Macaca mulatta: one gene and its partner. The protein of the gene in region 1 binds, or shares a complex with, the protein of each later gene. Links are inferred from orthologs where the notes say so. Each region holds a gene or a part of one and is shown on either strand. Other genes may lie near its edges. The genes, in order: OSGEP and GON7.

What was found.
Region 2: OSGEP (region 1) and GON7 share a complex: the UniProt entries of both Homo sapiens proteins name them as parts of the EKC/KEOPS complex. The link is inferred for Macaca mulatta from reciprocal best matches to the Homo sapiens genes OSGEP and GON7.

The regions. Positions count from the first base shown.
Region 1 is NC_133412.1:93,252,965-93,257,406, reverse strand, and holds the start of OSGEP (tRNA N6-adenosine threonylcarbamoyltransferase), read left to right. Parts: upstream 1-1,386; 5' UTR 1,387-1,796; coding exon 1,797-1,911; intron 1,912-4,281; coding exon 4,282-4,401; intron 4,402-4,442. Other genes in the region: APEX1 (DNA-(apurinic or apyrimidinic site) endonuclease), read right to left, coding at 385-572, 778-835. UniProt on the Homo sapiens protein: Component of the EKC/KEOPS complex that is required for the formation of a threonylcarbamoyl group on adenosine at position 37 (t(6)A37) in tRNAs that read codons beginning with adenine.
Region 2 is NC_133412.1:166,458,619-166,463,080, forward strand, and holds the start of GON7 (EKC/KEOPS complex subunit GON7), read right to left. Parts: upstream 3,041-4,462; 5' UTR 3,021-3,040; coding exon 2,813-3,020; intron 1-2,812. Other genes in the region: putative E3 ubiquitin-protein ligase UBR7, read left to right, coding at 3,275-3,424. UniProt on the Homo sapiens protein: Component of the EKC/KEOPS complex that is required for the formation of a threonylcarbamoyl group on adenosine at position 37 (t(6)A37) in tRNAs that read codons beginning with adenine.

The DNA of each region.
Region 1 (4,442 bases):
ATATTTAAACAATTCGAAGCTAGATAAATGAAAACAGAGGTAAAGTCTTACGTGCTATACTATGAATGTGTTTTTTCTATAGGCAAGCTAAGATTTTTAAGCTATAATTAATGAAATGGAGGACATGCTGAAGATAAAATGGAGGAAGTATAGTAAAAGGTTTTTGCAACATTCTGGGAAGAGGAGAGAACATTAAAAAAGAAAATGGCAATGGAAGTGAAGGAGCAGACATTTAGGAAATACAACTGGCAAGACTGGGGAAGCCCCACCGAAAACTGCAGGCAGGAGAAAAAACAGCCTGAAGGCTATACGGAGAAAAGGGATGACTAAACCCTAAGATCATTCAATACTAAAGAATGTGTCTTCCCCTCAAACACCACTCACATCTAATCCTTTCTTCTTAATCCAGGCTCGAAGCCCATCCACGTTCCAAGAGCAGATCTTGAGTGTGGCAGGTTTGCCACTGGGTGAGGTTTTCTGATCGGGGGGGTCCTCATACAGGGCTGGGCCCTCTCCTGCTGCCTCCTTGTCATTTTTCTTTGCGGGCGTCTTACTCTTCTTGGGCTCTGGCTCTATAAAATGAGTAATATATATTGATAAAAAGTGGGTGGTTTCCAACCGCGATCCGGCGTTAGCTATGGACCCAACGAAAGCCTGCGGTTACTGCGTCTTCACAAACCCCTGCAAAAATGAGTTGGCCGGTACTTACCGTTCATCAAGGGAATTACAAACAACCCCGCCGTAGCTTCTAGGAAGAGGGGCTCATTTCATTCTTACCTGTCTTGAGCTCATCCCCGTCTTCTGCCACCGCTCCCTTTTTCCCACGCTTCGGCATTCCCGTAACGAACGCTCTTCGGCACCTGTACCGCGTCGCCCACCAAAGCAGTATTTTTACCGCGTTGCCTACAGACGCAAAGAAATCATGAAACCAGCTAAGCCTGGGGAGAAGACTCCTCTCAAGAGCGTCCCCGCACCAGGTCCCGCCTTTCAAACCATGTTATCTCTAAATCCTTTCCCCGCCTCCGTGCATCATAGGCCCTTCAGCCCCTCACCCACGTAACTAGATCATTTCATAGTGCCTTGTACCCTACTCGCGAGATCTGCCCTCCAGCCAATTGAGGATCTTAATTAAGGGTCCTGACTCAAGCTTGCCCTTCAGACTGCCAGCGAAGCCCCTCTTATGAGCAAAAGAGCAACCCCGTATCTGCACCGGTCCGATGGCAGCCTAGCTCCTCCTAACCCGAGCACAAAGAAGGATGCACGCTGAGCCCCCCACGTGGGTAGCGGACCTGGTCACGTGATCAGAGGCACGCGTCACATGGCCGAAGAATGCGCGTGATTGGTCTGTCTGACACCACGTGACGAAGTCGCTTGGCCTTGCCTCTCTCAACTAATTCTCTAGGAGACCTAGGGCCCCAACCCTCGTTCGGGCTGTTTATCGTTGTGCCCGACGCACGGCACATTGTTTGACTCTGACTTAAGAGTCTAACGCTGTGCAAAGGGAAAAAAAAGTGGAGAAGGTTGGGCTGGACCACGGGAAAGATATAGGAAAACGGATAGGATTGTAAAGCACAGAGTCGGCTCGGCGTCCCTGGCAGTTAGGAAGACAGGTCCTTGGAGGGGCCTTGGCGGGTCTCCGCTCGCGGGAGTTCTGCGCTGTCTTTCCCACTGTTATCTGCAGGCTAGCCCGCTTCTTCTGCGCTCCGGAAAGCTGCGGCCCAGCGCAGACTAGTGAGGACTTCCACAGCTCCTGACGTTGCTAGGAGTCCTGTCGGCGTTTTCTCCCAGGCTCCGCCATGCCGGCGGTGCTGGGTTTTGAAGGCAGCGCCAATAAGATTGGCGTGGGTGTGGTGCGGGATGGCAAGGTGCTGGCGAACCCGCGGCGGACTTATGTCACGCCTCCGGGCACAGGTGGGTGAGTAGGGGAGTTAAGAGTTTTCGGCGCACTTCCCCGCAGAAAATCAGCCTTCCATCTTCCTAAATACTAGTGAGGTGCAGCTTTTGATCTGAGTCTTATTGAAATTATGTGATATTATTAACGTCACAAGGCTGATGACTAGAAGAGTTACAAGCACTTGGACGTGGATCTGATGAGTTCGTTTACCGTTTATTGAGCTCATTTTATGTGCTAAGCATTCAGAAATAGATGTTATGATACTGCTGTGGAGTCAGACATATAAATAGATGTTTATACTACAGCATGATAAACAGTGTAATAGAGATGGACTCGAAATATTCTGTTTAAAAAACGCTTAGCAGGAGTATATATTCCAGTTGCCCTGAATATACACTCCTTTTTTAAAAATTTTTATTTTTTGAAATATTCTAGGATGAGTAGAGAGATGAGAGTGGAAAGACTCCCAGCTTACATGTCAGAGAACTGGCTGGCTGTGCTGTATTCACATTAAATATTTATGTTTTGGACATTTGGTCTTTATTTTTTATTTTAATTTGTTTTTGAGACAGTCTTGCTCTGTTGCCCAGGCTGGAATGCAATGGCACGGTTTCGGCTTACTGCAAGCTCTGCCTCCCAGATTCAAGAGATTCTTCTACCCCAGCCTCCCGAGTAGCTAGGACTACAGACAGGTGTGTGCTACCACACCCAGCTAATTTTTGTATTTTTAGTAGAGGCGGGGCTTCACCATGTTGGCCAAGCTGGTCTCGAACTCCTGACCTCACATGATCCGCCCACCCCAGCCTCCCAAAGTGTGAAAATTACAGGCATGAGCCACCGCCCGGGCCTAGTCTTTGTTTTTAAAATGGGAATAATACCTGTATCATTAGGTGTTGAAGATTAGATGAAAGTACCAAACACGTCTGGGTGTGGTGGCTCACGCCTGTAATCCCAGCACTTAGGGAGGCCCAGGCGGGGTGGATCACCTGAGGTCGGAGTTCAAGAACAGCCTGACCAATATGGAGAAACCCTGTCTCCACTAAAAAATATAAAAAATTAACCGGGCGTGGTGGCACATGCCTGTTAACCCAGCTACTCGGGAGGCTGAGGTTGTGGTGAGCCGAGATCATGCCATTGCACTCCAGCCTGGGCAACAAGAGTGAAACTCCGTCTCAAAAAAATAAAAAAGAAAAAAGAAAGTACAAAACACATTACAACTTTTAATAAGCCATTGTATCTTGCCTACTCTCCCCTCAAACACTTGCATACATAGGAGAGGGGCAACTGATTTCCATGTATCTGAAAAGCCTCCCTGAACAGGTGATGTGACAGATTACTCATTAGAAATAGGTATGTATGTTTAGCATTCACTCCTCTAGGCACTTGGGCACTGGGAATACAAAGATAAAATACTTATTGCTTTGAGATACTCATGATTAAGCTGAGCAAACCACAGAAAATTATTATGTTGTAATTGTTAAATAAATGACATCATCATGCACAGAGTTCTGTAGGGTCACAGAGAAAGAAGGTCACCAGGCTGGGCGCGATGGCTCAGGCCTGTAATCCCAGCACTTTGGAAGGCCAGGGCAGACGGATCACGAGGTCAGGAGTTTGAGACCAGCCTGGCCAATATGGTGAAACCCCGTCTCTACTAAAAATACAAAAATTAGCTGGGTGTGGTGGCGTCGCCTGTAGTCCCAGCTGTTTGGGAGGCTAAGGCAGAAGAATTGCTTGAACTCAGGAGGCGGAGGTTGCAGTGAGCCGAGATCGTGCCACTGCAGTCCAGCCTGGGCATCAGAACAAGACTCCGTCTCAAAAGAAAGAAAAAAAGGCGGGGCGCGGTGGCTCACACCTGTAATTCCAGCACTTTGGGAGGCCGAGGCGGGTGGATCATGAGGTCAGGAGATCGAGACCACAATGAAACCCTGTCTCTTCTGAAAGTACAAAAAATTAGCCGGGTGCAGTGGTGGGCACCTGTAGTCCCAGCTACTTGGGAGGCTGAGGCAGGAGAATGGCATGAACCCAGGAGGTGGAGCTTGCAGTGAGCCGAGATCGCACCAGGCCACTCTAGCCTGGGTGACAGAGCTAGACTCCGTCTCAAAAAAAAAAAAAAAAAAAAAAAAAAGATCACCAAAGGGTATGGGTAGATACCACTTGCATTGAGACATGAAGGCTGAGTAGGGTAAGAGGAAGAGAATTTCTGAAAGTTGAACAGCCTATATAGAAGCTGGAAAGAGTGTATCCGAAAATGTGGAAGATAGGATGCTTGGGGAAAGTGAAAGGACTCTTACTACATCACTAAACCTCCTGTTGCTTTCTTTAACTTCCTACCTACTTTTGCTACCAAAAATCCCTGTGATCTCTGACCTGTGTTCATTTTCTAGGATTCCTTCCAGGTGATACAGCCAGGCATCACCGAGCTGTTATCCTAGACCTGCTGCAGGAGGCACTAACAGAGTCTGGATTAACCTCCCAGGATATCGATTGCATTGCATACACCAAGGGTATGGCTGGGAGAGTGGTCAACGATGGAGGAATATACCTG
Region 2 (4,462 bases), about 73 Mb from region 1:
TCTCTGTTACCAGGCTGGAGTGTAGTGGCGCGATCTCAGCTTACTGCAACCTCTGCCTCCAGGGTTCAAGTGATTCCTGTCTCAGCCTCCCAAGTAGCTGGGATTACAGGCACGCGCTACCATGCCCGGCTAATTTTTTGTATTTTAGTAGAGACAGGGTTTCACCATGTTGGCCAAGATGGTCTCGATCTCCCGACCTCGTGATCTGCATGCCTTGGCCTCCCAAACTGCTGGGATTACAGGCATGAACCACTGTAGCCGGCCAAAATCCACTTTTAAAAGTGTACCGCTTAGTGGTTTTTAGTATATTCACTAGATTGTGCAACCATCACCACTCTCTAATCCTAGAACACTTTCATCACTCCAAAGAGAAATGAATTATGCCCATTAGCAGTCACTTTCCATTCCCCTCAGCCTTCGGCAACCACTAATCTACTTTTGTTCCCCCTTAATTTTTATTAGTGAGAGGGTCTTGCTATGTTGCCCAGGCTAGACTCAAACTCCCAGGTTCAAGTGATCCTCCTGTGTCAGCCTCTAGAGTAGCTGGGACTACAGGTGCCCACCACTGCACCCAGCTCACTAATCTCTCTCTATGGATTTGCCTATTCTGTACATTCATATAAACAAAATCATATAACATGTACCCTTCTGTGTCTGGCTCTCACTGTAGCATAATGTTTTCAAGGTTCATTCATGTTGTAGCACGTATTAATACTTCATTACCTTTTATTGCTAATAATATTCCATTGTATGGATACACCACATTTTGTTAATGCACTCATCAGTTGATGGATATTTGCATTATTTCTATTTTTTAAAATTATCATTATTTTTAGAGATGAAGCGATGGGGCCTCACTCTGTCCTCCAGGCTGGAGTGCAGTGGAACAATCAGCCCACTGCAGCTTCAAACTCGGGTTCATGTGATCCTCCCACCTCCTAAAGGTGCAACACCAAGCCCGGTCAATTGTTGTTTCCACATTTTAGTCACTATAAATGCTGCTGCTATGAACATTCATGTGTAAGTTTTTGTGTGAACATACTTTCCAGTTCTCTTGCGAGGACTACCAGTGGAACTGCTGGGTCATGTGGTAACTTCATGTCAACTTTTTGAGGAGCTACCAAACTCTTTTTCCCAGTGGTTACACTGTTTTACATTTCCACCAACAATGTACAAGATCTCCAATTTCTCCACATTCCAGCCAACACTTGTTATTGTTCTTTTTGATCATAGCCAACATCCATATTATCAAGATGTAATTCCCAAGATGGAAGGAAAGTACAGTTTAAGCTCTTCTTAGAGAATTGTAAATCCTAACTCTAATATCTATTCTTGGATTTTTCAGCTCAGGACAGTTAAAATGTACCTGCCTGGCCAGGTGCAGCAGCTCAGGCTTGTAATTCCAGCACTTTGGGAGGCCAAGGCAGGTGGATCACGAGGTTAGGAGTTCGAGACCAGCCCAGCCAACACAGTGAAACCCCGTCTCTACTGAAAATACAAAAACTAGCTGGGAGTGGTGGCGGGCGCCTGTAATCTCAGCTACTTGGGAGGCTGAGACAGGAGAATCACTTGAACCCGGGAAGCAGAGGTTGCAGTGAGCCGAGATTGTGCCACTGCACTCCAGCCTGGGCAACAGAGCTAGACTCCATTTCAAAAAAAAAAAAAAGTACCTGCCTATTTCTGCATTCGAGGCAATTTTTAAAAAATAATGCAGTTAAACTTCACGTTTCTACTTTCAAACTGCACCTACAAAACTGGAAAGGTAAGGGAGTCTCTAGGAGTTAATACATGTTAAAATTAAGTCTGTCCCACTCCTTGGAACCTGTTCCTACTCTGCGATAGATTGTACTCTTCCAAATATGTCTGTAGTTTCACACCTGATAAAACTCCTTTTTATTCAATACTCCAGCTCAAAAGTCTTATCCTCTTTGAAGCCTTCCGAGGGTCTCTGGGTTTGCAACACTTACAGAGGGCCATAGAACCACGTTCTTTTTTTTTTTTTTTTTTTTTTTTTTTTGAGACGGAGTCTCGCTCTGTAGTCCAGGCTGGAGTGCAGTGGCGCGATCTCGGCTCACTGCAACTTCCGCCTCCCGGGGTCAAGCGATTCTTCTGCCTCAGCCTCCCCAGTAGCTGGGATTACAGGTGCCCGCCACCACTCCCAGCTAATTTTTGTATTTTTAGTAGAGACAGGGTTTCACCATATTGGCCAGGCTGGTCTCGAACTCCTGACCTCGTGATCCGCTCGCCTCAGCCTCCCAAAGTGCTGGGATTACAGGCGTGAGCTACCAGCCTGGCCACTTTCACTTTTAATAAGAGTGTCTGCCTGTATAATCCCCTTGTGTTTCACAAGGGCAGGAACTGAGTCGCATTGACCTCATTCTTCCTCCAGGGCTCAGCTCAGGGTTTGGCAAATAGTAGTAGGCATTCGGCAAGTTTTTTAGTGAAATAAATGAAATAGCGATGAGTCGTGGAAATGTTTGAGTAGAAGCAGCCCAAATATAGTGATAAATGCCAACAATTTTTATTTTTTAAATTATCTTTGAAATAACAATGGAAACGGGGTCTCGATATGTTGCCCTGGCTGTTCTGGAACTCCTGACCTCAAGTGATCCTCCTGCCTCGCCCTCCCAAAGTGTTGGGATTACAGGAGTGAGCCCCACTTCGCCTGGCCCGCCAAAAATTTTTAGATGCAATTCTTCTTTCCTCGAGGCTCACTTTGTCCAAGTCTGCCACTCTACACGGGCTCCCCAAGCCAATTTCCCCTGGCTCCCGCCCCGTCCTCCTGTCGCTGCAGCACCGTCTCAGAGCTCACCGTCCAGGGCCTCGTCTGGAGCCGCCGCCACCCGGTGCTGCACTTCCGCCTGTACCAGGGGGCCGAATAATTCCGTTACCAGCTCCTTCATCTGGGCCACGCCAGACAATAGGCCCTGGAAAGGGTCGCCGTCACCCGGCGCCTCACAGGACACCCGCAGCTTCTGCGGCTTCCCTTCCTGCCCGACATACTCTCCCAGCAGCTCCATGGTGACCACTAAGCTTCCAGAACACGACACCGGGAAGCGCCACCCGGAGGCGGAAATCAGCCCGTGGCCGGCGCAGGCGGCAGAAGGGAGAGGAGTGACATCCGTTTGTCGGAAGTCGCTCCTCCCCCTTCCTTCGCTTTTTTTCCTTGTCATTGGTTCCTGGCACTCGGGCCCCGCCTCCTCCGGCTACGCCCCTCGTGGCCGCTTTTCCCGCCTCCGCCGGGGCCGAGCCGCGGTTCGGGTGACAGTTGAGGATGGCCGGAGCCGAGGGCTCCGCTGGGCGGCAGTCGGAGCTGGAGCCCGTGGTATCGTTGGTCGACGTCCTCGAGGAGGACGAGGAGCTGGAGAATGAGGCGTGTGCTGTCCTGGGCGGCAGCGACTCCGAGAAGTGCTCCTACTCGCAGGTGGGCACGCGGCCCGGGCCTTGTCTCCCGCGGCTCCCGCCGAACCTCCCCTTCCCGGCCCGGCTGTCCCTATTCCCGCCTGCCGCAGTCGTCTCCCCAGTGGTGGTCCGGGGCCGCCGTTAGTCTGCCGCTTCCTTACCCCAAGCCCACCCTTCCCTTTTATCCCCAACCTCCTGGGCCCCCTTCAGCCTGTGTCCAGCAGGGGCCCCCATCTCCCCTCTCTCTAACTCTGTCCGGCCAGCCAGGAAGGACCCTGGAGCAGCTGCTCTGTCCGTCCTCTCCAGCCTCGTCCTGGTGCACCACTGCTTTTCACGAAACCAGCCCGCGACCTCTCAGATCCAGACATCTTTGTCCCTGCTTTTCCCATCCTAAGATTATTTATTTATTTATTAGGGACCAAATGGGAGACGTCAGGTTAAAGAGATTTTCAAATCCATAGGGATTTGCGGTGAGCTCCTTGACAGCTAGTTCCTCTGCAATTTAGTTTGACAAGTGCTAGCTAGTACTTTTTCTTTCTTTTTTTGGCAAAATGGAGCAAGTACCCATGTCTGTCTGCAGTCTGCCCTCCTCCCCTGGAAATAGACCGGAAACAGAACAGCAAGTGGCTCTGGCAAGGGAGGGGAGAGAGGAGAAAAGGATCTATTTGGCATTTGGAAGACGTTGTGAGTGAGCAAGTGTTTGAGGGGGTGTGATGTGTTTAGTGACTCACCCTATACTTCGAGGCACAAAAATGGAAAAGGATGGGTAGGAAGAAGACTGACAAAGGATAAGAACTGGCAGGAAGAAGGGTTACCGAGGCAGAGGGGTGGATTGGAACACTGGGGAGATGAGGGGAGAGACTTGCATTCATTATGTGGTATGAACTGAGGTCATAATACCAGTTCTCGTTGTTGACCAAGTTTAGTTTACACTGCAAAGTGCTAGATTGTTGAATAAACCTGGTATCCAGACATAGCCCCAGGTATTTTAAAACCTTTGGTCACCACTAAAACAATTTTTCGCCTGCTTTCCTTAAAAAAAAAAAAAAAGTTCTAAGTC